Oryzias latipes: one gene and its partners. The protein of the gene in region 2 purifies or fractionates together with the protein of the main gene of each other region. This does not show direct contact. Links are inferred from orthologs where the notes say so. Each region holds a gene or a part of one and is shown on either strand. Other genes may lie near its edges. The genes, in order: raf1, pin1 and polr2d.

Region 1 (3,588 bases), on a different chromosome or scaffold from region 2:
GCTATATTGCAATTCATCTTTAGCCGTCTCGCTGTTTCGCGGAGTTGTTTCTATGTTTTATGAGAGAAGATAAATCTTTGTAAATCCACAAACAAATTAAATACAAGGTCAAAACAATGTGAAAATTGTCTTTACAAAAAGAGGTAAAAGCTCCACTGAACTATATGCAAAGTTGTAAAGATTTATTCCAAGAGGGTATCGCAATAATGTGTTATAACTCTTCCTATGCTCGTCTTAAACCAGAAATTTCAAAGCTCAAATTTTTTTGAAACCTTCAAAAACTTTGATGAAAACTATACTAATGGGCTGGTTGGTTTCATCGCTGCCTCATTGTAAACAGTCGATGTGATTGGCAAACTCACCGGTGAGTTCAGGAACAACTGAGGGTTCATTCATTTCCATACATTTGATGTATTATGGGAATATTATTTTGGAGGAAATCTGGCAAAACCATTGAAATGCTGCATAAGAGAGCATAAAAAACTGCTAATGAAAACAATTAAAGTTTTCTCTGGATCATCCTACAAAGAGCAGTCATGTAAAAGCTGCAGATCTATCTTTAAAAACAAATTATACAGTTTAAACTGAACATGAAAAAACATGCAGCCTTAAATAAACTGAAGTGCAGAACTGATGGCCAAAACCCACATGAGTGAAAGTAAAAATTCCATAGTTTCTAATCACTTTTTTACTACGTTTTTACATTGTATTTTTCCAGAACTGAAAATAACTAAAAAGTGCGGCCGCAGACACGCCCATCACTAAGTGGTTTTGCGTCTGTTATCGGCCGGCCGCGTGAGTCACTTCTGTTTTTCCAACTTCCCCCCTCTGTTCTCCGTCAACAATATAACTGAACAGAAACGTTTCAAAACCAGAGCTTTGTAGGTTTAATTAAAAGCTTCCACCTCTGATCCACACTCGTCTAAAGTACCTAATGATGTCGCTTCCCAAATGCAAAACAAAAACTTTTTCAGAGAAACATGTCACAATGAGGGGAGCAATAAGTGGATTCAGATTAAGTTTGACTGAAACTGTGGTTAGCTGTGTCTGAGGATACCACAAGTTTTGTCTTTGATATCCTTAATTATTATGTTTAAGGGACAAAGTCAAAGAATTCTGTCACTTTAGGTCCCTTTAAAGACCCATTTTGATTATTTTTTAACTATTGTAAGAGCATTTCCAACTATGATGACCGTTTTTTGGCAAAATCCGAAAACCTGTCATTTTCTAGGACTGTTTCTGCAGAACAGCAGTCCATTAGCAATTCACCTCCGAGTTGTGGGCGGGACCGTTGGCATGGAGCAACCCAGACCCCCCTTCCCTTCGATGTTGTGCACAAACATGTTCTTTTTATTCTTTTTTTTTATCAATTTGAATGAAGAAATGGTCAGAAATACAGTTTCAAGTTTAATTGTATTGATATATGGAAGGTAAAGGCAAGTTTCATCGGAAAAATGCCACAAGAACAATCTAAAAACACCATTTTCATCTGAGTGGCTCTTTACAAGAAGGATGTGATTGACGGCACACTTTAAGCCTTTCTCCACCATGAGTTTTCTGGAAAATGTCTGTTTTTTAGGAGGAAAAAATTTATGAATGGAGCGTCACAACCGTGGCTTTTCCAGGTCATCTTAAACTAATTTGTGAGTTTGCGATTCTTTGGCAATGGCTTTTTGAATCTGATATCACCTTGAATTTCTTCAATCTTTTTTTTTTTTACACTCTTGTGCACAACGGATGTTACAATACCTGTGATTTTACCTGATCTCTGTTTGCGATCTGGGAGTACGGGAGCTCTCCTGTCATGAGCTCAAAGAGAACAATTCCATAGGAATAGACATCAGATTGGAAACTGTAGGGGTTATTATCCTCCATCCGGATAACCTCAGGAGCCTGTCAGTCACAAGAAAAGAAAGAAAGCTTTTTATAGTTGGCATCCACTAAAAGAATCATTTAACTTTTTGTCTATTTCTAAGTTGTTGTTGTTGTTTTGTTTTTTTAACAAAATCCTGCTGTTGGGACACTGCTTGTGATCTTGATGGAGTTACTAACCATCCAAAGAATGGATCCGGAAGGTTGCTCCACCTGATGTGAGCCGCTCCACCTGGCCTTCACCGTTGCAAGACCAAAGTCCCCAATTTTCACTGTTAGCCCTTCATGCAAAAAGATGTCTGCAATTTTGTCAAGGATTTACACAAGGAAACACAATTCATTCAGAACTTTGCACGTTTTAGTGAAAAAACTGAAAGGATACTGTTAGACTTCATGTCCCGGTGGATGATGTTCTTAGCATGAAGATAGCTACAATAGAAAAATGGAATATTAGACAGATTTCCTTTGAAACACGAGGGGAGTTCTCCTTTTGTGACTTACTCCATGCCCTGAGCTGTCTGTCTGGCAATATCTATAAGCTGGATCATCTTGAAATTAGTCTCCAGGACGTGAATGTGTTTGTAGAGGCTGCTGCCCTCACACCACTGGGTCACAATGGCGAGGTTGTCCTTCGTCATGTAGCCCATGAACAGCAGGATGTTGACATGTCGAGTTTTCCTGCACCCACAAACAAAGAGGAGCAAATCCACAAACAGGGAAATGCCACAATGCAAATACAGTTTAGGTAAAGGTTTGATACAGATGGAAGACAGTCAGTCCATTTACCTCAGGACTGCCACTTCATTTCTGAATGCCTGGAGCTGCTCCGGTGTGGGGTCAGTCACCTTTAAAATCTTTACTGCTACATCACCTGCGAATGACAGCTATGAATTAAGCTCATATCAAAGGAGGCGTGCTTCTTTCTTCTTTGATGCTGAATATGTGTAAAGTCTGGGATGAGCATGTCTCATACCGTGCCATTTTCCTTTGTATACAGTTCCAAAGGAGCCCGAACCGATGCGGGAGTGCAGATACACCTCACTGGCTTCAATCTCCCAGTAGTAACTGGAGTCGCGCTTATCTCGAGGCTTCTGGATGGACAAAAAACCAACCAGACGTCGCACCTTTAAATAAGACGTGACAAGCTCGTATTTTCGTCTGTGCCGACGTGACTTACAATTTTATTTTTCTCCTGAGCAGTGAAGGACGGGGCCCTCTCCCTCTGGGCAGGGGTGGGGGTCTTGGATTGTGAATGGGACCAGCCTGTTGGGCTCTGGTTAGGTGAACTCCCCGCTGCACGAGCACAGAAAAAATGCTCACAGGTGCACGGCAAAACATTTATTTTTAAATTAATAGTCCAGCGGGCAAAGATTAGCTGAGGCTGTTTAAGTGTAATGCATTGTTTTCAGATATCAAATCTCTCTTTGTAACAGGTTCCTCTAAAAGAGGCTGTGGCAGGAAGCAGTATGTACGCAGACTGACAATTATGTGGAAAGTAAAAGAGGAAGAGTGACGCAGCAGACTTACCTGAGTCATGGTCTCGCATTGCATCCTAGAAAAATAAAAGCCACATTTAATTAGGATTAATAACCTTACTCAAACTGAAGATTACGAAAGCCCACGCCATGCTGCCATGTGTGGTTTTAAACCCAGGCGATAAGATGTGAAGACAGGTAAAGGCATGCCAGTCAGACTGCACACAGCTCTCTAACCTGT
Region 2 (4,118 bases):
CATTATCTTTTTTTTTTAATCAGGTGGGTGATGAGGTTTGAGTTAAATGTAGATCATGAATGCAAACATGCAGACGTAAGCCAACTTAGACTAAATTGGGTATTTTAGGAAGACTAAAACTAAATTGCATGTTTTCTAATACGTATAATATAAGCATTATGTGTAATTTCTCTTCAGTTTGGCATTTGTGGGTTGATTCAACAGAAAAGACAACCCGTGCCAGAGTAAGTGATAAGAATTGTCCTGGCAAATGCAACAAAGCAATGTTGAGAGACCAACAAATAGACAGAGTAAAAAAGTTTATGAGGCTTTTGCTGGAGAGGAAACCTTATAAACAGAGTTAATTATTAAGCATTTTTTAACTAAAATTAGAAAGCATTTTTACTTAAAAAACTGTAAATATTAGGACAATACTACCTTATAACTACATAAAAGCTGAAGAACTAAAACTAAGAAAACCCAATATTCCCATTATGATGTTGGTACCTCTGGCAAACAGTCCCAGATCTCCACCGTTCTTAGCTGAGCTGCAGTCGCTGAACTGAGAGGCTAGAGATTCAAAAGACTCATGCCCAGATTTGATTTCGTCTATGTACTCTAGAAAACAGAACCAAAAAAAAGACAGATTAAGTAGAGATTTGAAACAGATCTGGTGTTTCTGTCCTCTGCCTTACTTACTCTGAATAAGCTCTATAGCCTCTTCTTTAGTTCGTGTTATATTTTGTTCCCTCCAGGAAGAAGGACGTCGAGACTGATTATGTTTTACTAGGAGGTGGGAGCATCGCACCTGAGAGAGAGAAAGGAGGAAACACAAAAAGATACACAATACATCATCACCTATTTGTTAGAAAGTGTTATAAAATGTTTCTGTGCAGGGGTGTAATGACTAATTGACCTGATCAATCAATCGATTTATATTCCTACGATCCAAGCAGAACAATCTGTCTGAGGCATTTGTTAATTGAATCGATCTATTACATTATAAAACTGTTTCAAATTAAAATAAATATATTATTTCCATATCGGGAAATACCATTTGGCTTAAGGGACGGTTTACTTTACTATAACATAATAACAACCAAGTGTTAGTTAGATTGAACCAATATTGACCATAAAATCGTACTGGAAACCACAAGTGATCATATGAATTAGACCTGCACAACAAAACGCAAATGTATCATTATCGCAATTTCAAGCTGTGCAATTCGCATATTGCAAAAGTCGTCAAAAATAGCAATAAATGTTTACTTTAAATGTGCTAAAACAAATATTGGAGTATTTAACGAATCAAATAAATTGACCAATCAGATGGGGCTCTTTTATTTATTTATTTTGAAGCTTTTCTTAGGTTAGACGTTCGCCTCCTATGTAGACGAGGGTCATTTGGAGTATAATTTAAGTTATGTTGACTCTTATTTAAATTAAACTGTTGCAGTAAAATGGAAATGATGTTTTTAGTCGTTTTGCTATTTGTTCATGAATGTTTTATCGTCGTCGCAATATTGATCACTAATATGGCGAGTTTTCCTCATATGGTGCAGCCCTAATATGAATGTCATTAAAACTAATCATTACCGGTACATCACTATCACAAGCTCTACAAATACTTCTTTAGTGAATTTATTATGATTTCAATCCTAAATGTATTGCTAATAAAACACACAAAATGAAGTCCACCTTATCTGGCTCTCCACGGCCATCTCCCACAGGACGTTCCCACTGGCTGGCATTAGTGATGTGGTTAAAGTAGTACACCTTGCCTACAAACAGCAAAGAAAGCAGTTTGATCAGCACCTTTGGAATGATCCAAGACATTAGAAGACACAAAAATCAAATTACAGTTTACATGACCTTACCCACTAAAACTGCAAAAGCACTCACAATTCCCCGTATCGGTATTATTGTTGTTTCATAGTAGTTGGTCATGAAGTTGCATGGTTTTGAATAAAACCAATGCATCAACTGCTGACAGTGTTCAATTTAGTTTATAGGTCTGCAAAAAGCTGTTCCTTTGCAATCCTTCCTTTTTACTCCATTGAAAAGAAACACACAAATAAAACAGAAAAAAAAACACCTAAAGTTTTTACAAGGCAATCATCTACCCAAACAGATTTTCTGTAAAAGAAGAAGAGAAATCAGATAAACAGACGTATCTGCAGAAATAAATCACATTTTGGGGGGGATCTGAAAGTTTAGTAGATTTCTCAAAGTTAAATAATTACCTATATATGAAAAAAATGTAAAGTGATCTTGTTTACAAAATATTCCCCAAATTGTCAGTTTTACTGTGCGTATATATTCACAAAATACTTTCAAGACATCAGGTCTAAGCTGCGTCTGCGCAAATTCCAGGTGACGTCATGCAACGGCGGCCCTGCAGAACATCTCCATTAGAAAAAAAAGTGGGGGAAAAGCTAGTTATAAAGCAAACCGTAGCATAACCGTATTTTCCCAGCGGCACTTTTCCTGATAGAAACCGTGTCGGTAACCCCGATGCATGCATTAGCAGGACAGCCTCACCTGAAACAAGTTCACAAAGCCTCGCTTACCACGATGCACGGGCTAGCTATAAGCTAAATCAACTTCTCGTGGGCTGCAGTTGAGCTCATACATTCAGCCTCCCCCGTCTTATGTATATTTACCTGAACTACGGCTCATTCTTTTCTCCCATCCCGACGGTAAATTCTCCTCGTCTGCCATGTTATCTGCTGCAACGTTATCAAGTTAGAATTCAACGTTCAAACGATGCGACACGGCTACGGCTCAGCAGGTACGACAGTCGGTTTACGGCAAAAGTTGTTTTCTGAGTTTGGCCCGCCCCCAAACGGCTTGTCCGTCCTACTATTGGTCTTCAACTCTTGTCAATCATATTTCTTACTATCTAATTGGTTAAGAGGACAATAACACGCGACATCGATTCTACGGTGATGAGCACCGAGAGCTTTCCAGAAGGTTTCAACTAGTGAAGAAAATCCATCAATCTTGGGCTACATTTAACGTATGTTTTACACTTTTTGATCTTTTTAACACGTCTGGCAACATTTTTGAAACCTTAAGTTGATCTTAATAGGCGCCATCTAATTTATGTTTTATATATTTAAAAGAGTTGTGTGCACAAGCTAACGGGTTAGCTAAAAAAATCATGGCTGGTCGAATTTCATCGTCAATTTAGTTTCTGCTGTTGACGCAAAATGAATTACACATTCTTTTGACTTAATGTTAGTGGTGTGAACGATTAATGTCGTTCCTGTTCATAACTCCAATATTTCAGCTTACTAGCTCCTCTTTTTTTCACAGTACACGATGATTGAGGTGATTTGCAACGATCGTCTTGGGAAGAAAGTCCGGGTCAAGTGCAAGTATCCTTCTGAACACATTTGATTTGCTGATCTGCTAAAGATGTTTTGGCTGTTAATACTGCACTGCAACATGCTGGTTCTGATTAGTTAAGGGGGGGGGGGGTTACTGTGCTATGGTCCATCCATAGCACAGTAACCGTGCTATGGATGGACCCTTTCCTTATGAACCCATTTGGGGTTCATTAGAATAACCATTTGGGCCTACATTAGAATAACCAGGTAACCTATGAATCATGTATTTTCGACTGTGGGAGGAAGCCGGAGTGCATGGGGTTTCTCTGCAACAAGCAAACTCCACACAGAAGGGTCCCAGCAGGGTTTGGAACCAGGGCCTTCCCCATTGCACCATCATGCAGCTCTATTTAAAATCTAAAGACTGAAAACATTCAGGACATGAAAGCTGGAAGTGTTTGTTTTGAAGGGTTTTCCACGTCACCAAATTGCTCCTCAACATCCTTGCACAGCTCAGAGGACACAATTGGAGACCTGAAGAAACTAATTGCAGCACAGACGGGAACAAGATATGACAAAATTGTACTAAAGAAATGGTAACTTTGCCTTCCTTTGCCTTTTTCTTCTTTGCATCACAATGAACATTGCCCTTTTTGGCTTCTTTACTTAGAAAATGTGTTCTTGTTTTAATAGGTACACCATCTTCAAGGATCACGTGTCTCTCGGTGACTGTATCCTTTTGACGCACTGACTTGACCTTTACTAAGCTGATGCAGAAAGGACCGATTTGCCCTCTAATTTCTTTAG
Region 3 (4,375 bases), on a different chromosome or scaffold from region 2:
ACTGTGTCTGGAATTTACAAAGACATATCTTCCATGCCCCCATAGTCCTGAGCAGGACTACGGGGGCATGGAGTCCATTCCAGTTACTTCAGGGCATAAACAACATAACTCTAAGCACTTTACTAGACCATCAGAAGTCTATTCAAACTTCTTAAGGGACAATTTTAGAGTAGAGTACCTAATTTACCAATAAAACATGCTTTGAACCCCTTCAGGAACCTGAAGGTCTTGGAAAAAACAATGGACACACAAAATGTAAAAACCTCACACACATTCCAACCCTACCGTTCTGAAATTTGAATCACCACGCCACCTGGTGGAGTTGCAGGAGATTACAAAAGGTGAGAAAATAATAGTTGCTACAGATTCATTCTCAAGTTTACAGAGTTTCAGAAGTGTTTGCTACCAGTGTAGCTGTGAAAAAAAACGTGTGGCAACTTCAGGTGGAGTATAAAGACTAAAGTAAGACTAAATAAATAAATAAATAAAGTAAGACTAAATAAAGTCTGCATATGACCTTATGACCTGCAAGGAGCAGGTAGAGAAGCATCTAGAGAGGAATAAAGACCAGTCACAGCAAGATAATGTACCTACATGGAAATACAAGAAGCAATTGAAACTGTTGAAAACTAATAATGCGGATAAAGAACATTTTTAGTTATAAAATAAAGGTTTGTATTTTAAAGGTCACATGGTTAAAAAAAATACAAATTTTATATGATATAAATAACACTGACAAACATATCAGTAAGAAATTCAAAAGAGAGGGGAAAAGATGAATAAAGTTAAAATGAATATCAGGGACCAAAAATCTCAGCAGGTCTATGCTATGGCGAGCTCACATGGTCTTTTATTATTGAACACTACAAATGTTAAGTTAGGAACCTGTAAACATAAATGTAAAACAGTTAGAACATTTAGAACAAAAAATGAGATAGATCATCAAATAAAGACACAAGAAAGCAAAACAAAGACAGAGTCAACTAAAAAACACCTAAATATGAAGAGTTTTGATATAATTTAATGCCTTTAAAAAAGTTGAAACATTTTCTTGCTTTTTTACTTTTCATGAATTAAACAAATCTACTTAAGAAACACATTAAACAGTGGTTTGGTTTTTAATAATTTACTTTTATGAATATAAAATTTGCTTTTGATTGTTAAAATATTTTAAACTAAATTTAACAGACTGTTATGTGAAATTACACCAAAAAGAATGTTGTTCTTTTTTAATGAGACTTGAACAGAGGAATTTGAACACCACAAATGAAACTCATCCCCAAAAAGATTCAAAGTACATGCAATCAACAAGCAATTTCAACACAAAAATACAATTGTTTTCTTTAAATCTTTAACTTTAACATTTATTTACAAGGAAATAAATTATTTATTACAAGGGCATATATGACTGAACAGTTCTATCGTTGTGTTTGAGGGGAGTTCCTACACTTCATCTTCCAGGACAGTAGGTAGCAGAAGCGCACCATTATTGCTAGATGACACCCGCCTAAACCAGAAGAAAGCAGAGGAAGAATATCACCGGAAGTAGATCGGTGTTGTGACCGGAAGTTCCCCGAGCGCCGTTGTTCTCTGCACAGTTAACGTTCTCACCGTAGTCTCCGAGAGAAGCTGACGGAGCTCATCGGTACTGCGCGCCTCTGCGACCCGTGACTGTGACTCGACATGACTGCCGCTGGAAGCTCGGTTTCCTCGCACGTGGGAGACGTCGAAGAAGACGCGTCACAGTTGCTGTTTCCCAAAGGTGGCGCGCACAAATACTGTTTACTTCCGAAACTTTTTGTTAGGTTACAGTGTAACCTGTATTGGAAACAATTACGTTGCTATATGTGACCGATGAGGATAATCATCCCCTGATTATTAATTTATGTAAGCTGCATCACCGATTTGAATCTGAATATTTTCATTATACGACCATCATCATCTGTACTGGTTAAATGTTTCTCTCACTGACACACATGTATTGTGATCATCATGATGTTTGGTCCACTGATCAAGATAGAATTATTTGTTTGTTTGCTGAGAGTAAACTATAAGTTTAAATTTACATGGATTGCTGTCCTGGAAGGTCTGAGACTCAACAAGCTTCCTAAAATAGTACAGGCTGACTTTGATCAGCAGGATTTTTGTCCTACTTCTTGAAACAGGCCTTAAATTCCAGTCCACAATCACTGCAGGAATCCTTCTGTCTTTCAATCAAAATGGTTCTGGAGCTGATATTCTGTAGAATCTGAGCTCAAATTCAGTGACTAACCAGCCCCCTCCTGCTGTCTGCAGAGTTTGAGAACTCTGAGACGCTGCTGAACTCGGAGGTCCACATGCTGCTGGAGCACAGGAAGCAGCAGAACGAGAGCGCCGAGGACGAACAGGAGTTGTCCGAGGTCTTCATGAAGACTCTCAACTACACGGCCCGCTTCAGCCGCTTCAAGAACCGCGAGACCATCACTGCCGTGCGCAGGTAAGGATGCCCCTTCTGGTCCCAGGTCCTGGCCCTGATCTGGGTCCTAATGGCCTTTCTGTCTGTCTCAGTCTCCTCCTGCAGAAGAAGCTCCATAAATTTGAGCTGGCCAGTTTGGCGAATCTGTGTCCTGAAGCTGCAGAGGAGGCTAAAGCTCTGACCCCCAGGTGAGTCTGGACTGAACCGGACTTGTTCTTTTCACCCATAAATTACAGGGTCTTCGTTAACCAATCTGTGAAAAGATTCACCTGACATCAGATTATTCTGAACACCTTAGTGATTTTAGGATTTTTGGGAGGCTTGACTTTTTATTTTATTTTAACACTTTCAGTAAATTGAGTAAAAGTATAAGTTAGTCTGGATGCCAAGGAGATTTATTTAGTAATGTCGAAGTAACACTATTTTACATTAAGGGCAGACGTGTGCAGCTTTAATTGAATTAATTCAAAGAGAAAACCTGAGAGATTATCCTAAACTGGATCAGAAAACATTTTGGATCAATTCATCACAGACATGTAGTTTTATGCTGTTCTTACTTGTCAGGAATTGGTTTCTTGTTGAAATTATTATGCATTAAAAAATAGCAGATAAGTTATTTTAGATTGTTTAGTGATCATTATTTTTGTGAAAATATACAGTGGTGGACAAAATTGTTGGTACCCATCAGTTATAGAAACAAATTCCAGAATTCTCACTAAAATGACTTGAAATGTTCAAAAGTAACAATAAATTAAAATTTAATGAAAATGAAATAATCAAAATCAGCTTTTTAATTTGTTGATTGACAGAATTATTTAAAAAAAAAAAAAAGCTAATGAAATAGGGTTGGCCAAAAATGATGGTACCTCCATAACAGACTGAGAACTAATTGCCCAGGGGGTCATGATGAACTCAGGTATGTCCTTAAATTGACATCATAGCTGTCTTCAAACTCATAATCAGTCAGTCTGTCAACAATTTTGTCCACCACTGTATCTTACTGAGATATGGATCGTTTTGCAGGTGATGTTGTTACAATTCTTATCAAATAATTCATCGTTGAGAGAATAAAGTTCTGCCGGGTTCTGCTTCTTTTCTCAGTCTGGAGGGTCGCTTTGAGGATGAAGAGCTGCAACAGATCCTGGATGACATTCAGACCAAGAGGAGCTTCCAGTACTAAGACCAGGACCAGCAGCTGGACCTGAGACCTCCAGAACTCTCCTTAACAGAGGCAGCGTGGTTCACGTTCCACCGGGACCAGAAAAATCACAGAACATTTAATCCACCCACCACCCAGCAGAATCTTGATGTACTTTAAAGGCACACAAGATGCTGTTTGTGTGTCTGATTCTATCCGGTCTGTGGAAAATCCAGCACATGTTGATAAGAAAACTGTATCTGTGCTCTGCTCCTTCGGGTACCTATGGGCAGAAACTCAAATCCATCATCAGTGAGCTTATCCCGAACACCGCCCACTCGTACTGCCAGCTCAGACCTGCAAGACCACCTTCGAGTCAGAGTCCACGCAAAATTGATTCCCAACAGAACCTTCTTGTCCCAGGAGAACCCCTTTTAGTGCTTTTGTGTGGTTGTCTGTCCAAACCGCTTATTAGGAGCGGAACAGGGAACTGGATTTATTGTGTTGATTGAAAATAAAAATTTAAAAAAACTACACCAAGGAACAACCAAGCAAAGTTTGTAAAGCTCTTTTAACAAAAAGAATCACAAAGTGAGAAGGAGAGCCGGTGGACCATAGGGACAGAGGCAGGGAGGGATCTCATCAAATCTTCCAATCTTTATTACAGCTAAAGGGTAGGTAGGTGGTGAAACAGGAAAAGATGCAGCAAATGAATCACAGGTGCTGTCATTCCCTTCTCCACCAAGGATTCCTAGATGGATTGCTGTCCATTAAAAAAAAAA

The links.
Region 1: the proteins of pin1 (region 2) and raf1 purify together in Homo sapiens (co-immunoprecipitation; 3 studies listed by BioGRID and IntAct, with this or other methods). This does not show direct contact. The link is inferred for Oryzias latipes from reciprocal best matches to the Homo sapiens genes PIN1 and RAF1.
Region 3: the proteins of pin1 (region 2) and polr2d purify together in Homo sapiens (co-immunoprecipitation; 3 studies listed by BioGRID and IntAct, with this or other methods). This does not show direct contact. The link is inferred for Oryzias latipes from reciprocal best matches to the Homo sapiens genes PIN1 and POLR2D.

The regions. Positions count from the first base shown.
Region 1 is NC_019865.2:17,684,126-17,687,713, reverse strand, and holds part of raf1 (RAF proto-oncogene serine/threonine-protein kinase), read right to left. Parts: coding exon 3,585-3,588; intron 3,425-3,584; coding exon 3,400-3,424; intron 3,166-3,399; coding exon 3,050-3,165; intron 2,964-3,049; coding exon 2,846-2,963; intron 2,744-2,845; coding exon 2,659-2,743; intron 2,551-2,658; coding exon 2,374-2,550; intron 2,302-2,373; coding exon 2,255-2,301; intron 2,172-2,254; coding exon 2,053-2,171; intron 1,894-2,052; coding exon 1,762-1,893; intron 1-1,761. UniProt on the Homo sapiens protein: Serine/threonine-protein kinase that acts as a regulatory link between the membrane-associated Ras GTPases and the MAPK/ERK cascade, and this critical regulatory link functions as a switch determining cell fate decisions including proliferation, differentiation, apoptosis, survival and oncogenic transformation.
Region 2 is NC_019859.2:22,494,303-22,498,420, forward strand, and holds the start of pin1 (peptidyl-prolyl cis-trans isomerase NIMA-interacting 1), read right to left. Parts: upstream 2,802-4,118; 5' UTR 2,771-2,801; coding exon of another isoform or gene 2,746-2,770; 5' UTR 2,701-2,745; coding exon 2,643-2,700; intron 1,761-2,642; coding exon 1,678-1,760; intron 788-1,677; coding exon 679-787; intron 598-678; coding exon 487-597; intron 1-486. Other genes in the region: ubl5 (ubiquitin-like protein 5), read left to right, coding at 2,746-2,770, 2,895-2,998, 3,298-3,359, 3,824-3,907, 4,005-4,042. UniProt on the Homo sapiens protein: Peptidyl-prolyl cis/trans isomerase (PPIase) that binds to and isomerizes specific phosphorylated Ser/Thr-Pro (pSer/Thr-Pro) motifs.
Region 3 is NC_019878.2:10,414,496-10,418,870, reverse strand, and holds polr2d (DNA-directed RNA polymerase II subunit RPB4), read left to right. Parts: upstream 1-1,547; 5' UTR 1,548-1,683; coding exon 1,684-1,762; intron 1,763-2,295; coding exon 2,296-2,476; intron 2,477-2,547; coding exon 2,548-2,643; intron 2,644-3,556; coding exon 3,557-3,635; 3' UTR 3,636-4,140; downstream 4,141-4,375. UniProt on the Homo sapiens protein: Core component of RNA polymerase II (Pol II), a DNA-dependent RNA polymerase which synthesizes mRNA precursors and many functional non-coding RNAs using the four ribonucleoside triphosphates as substrates.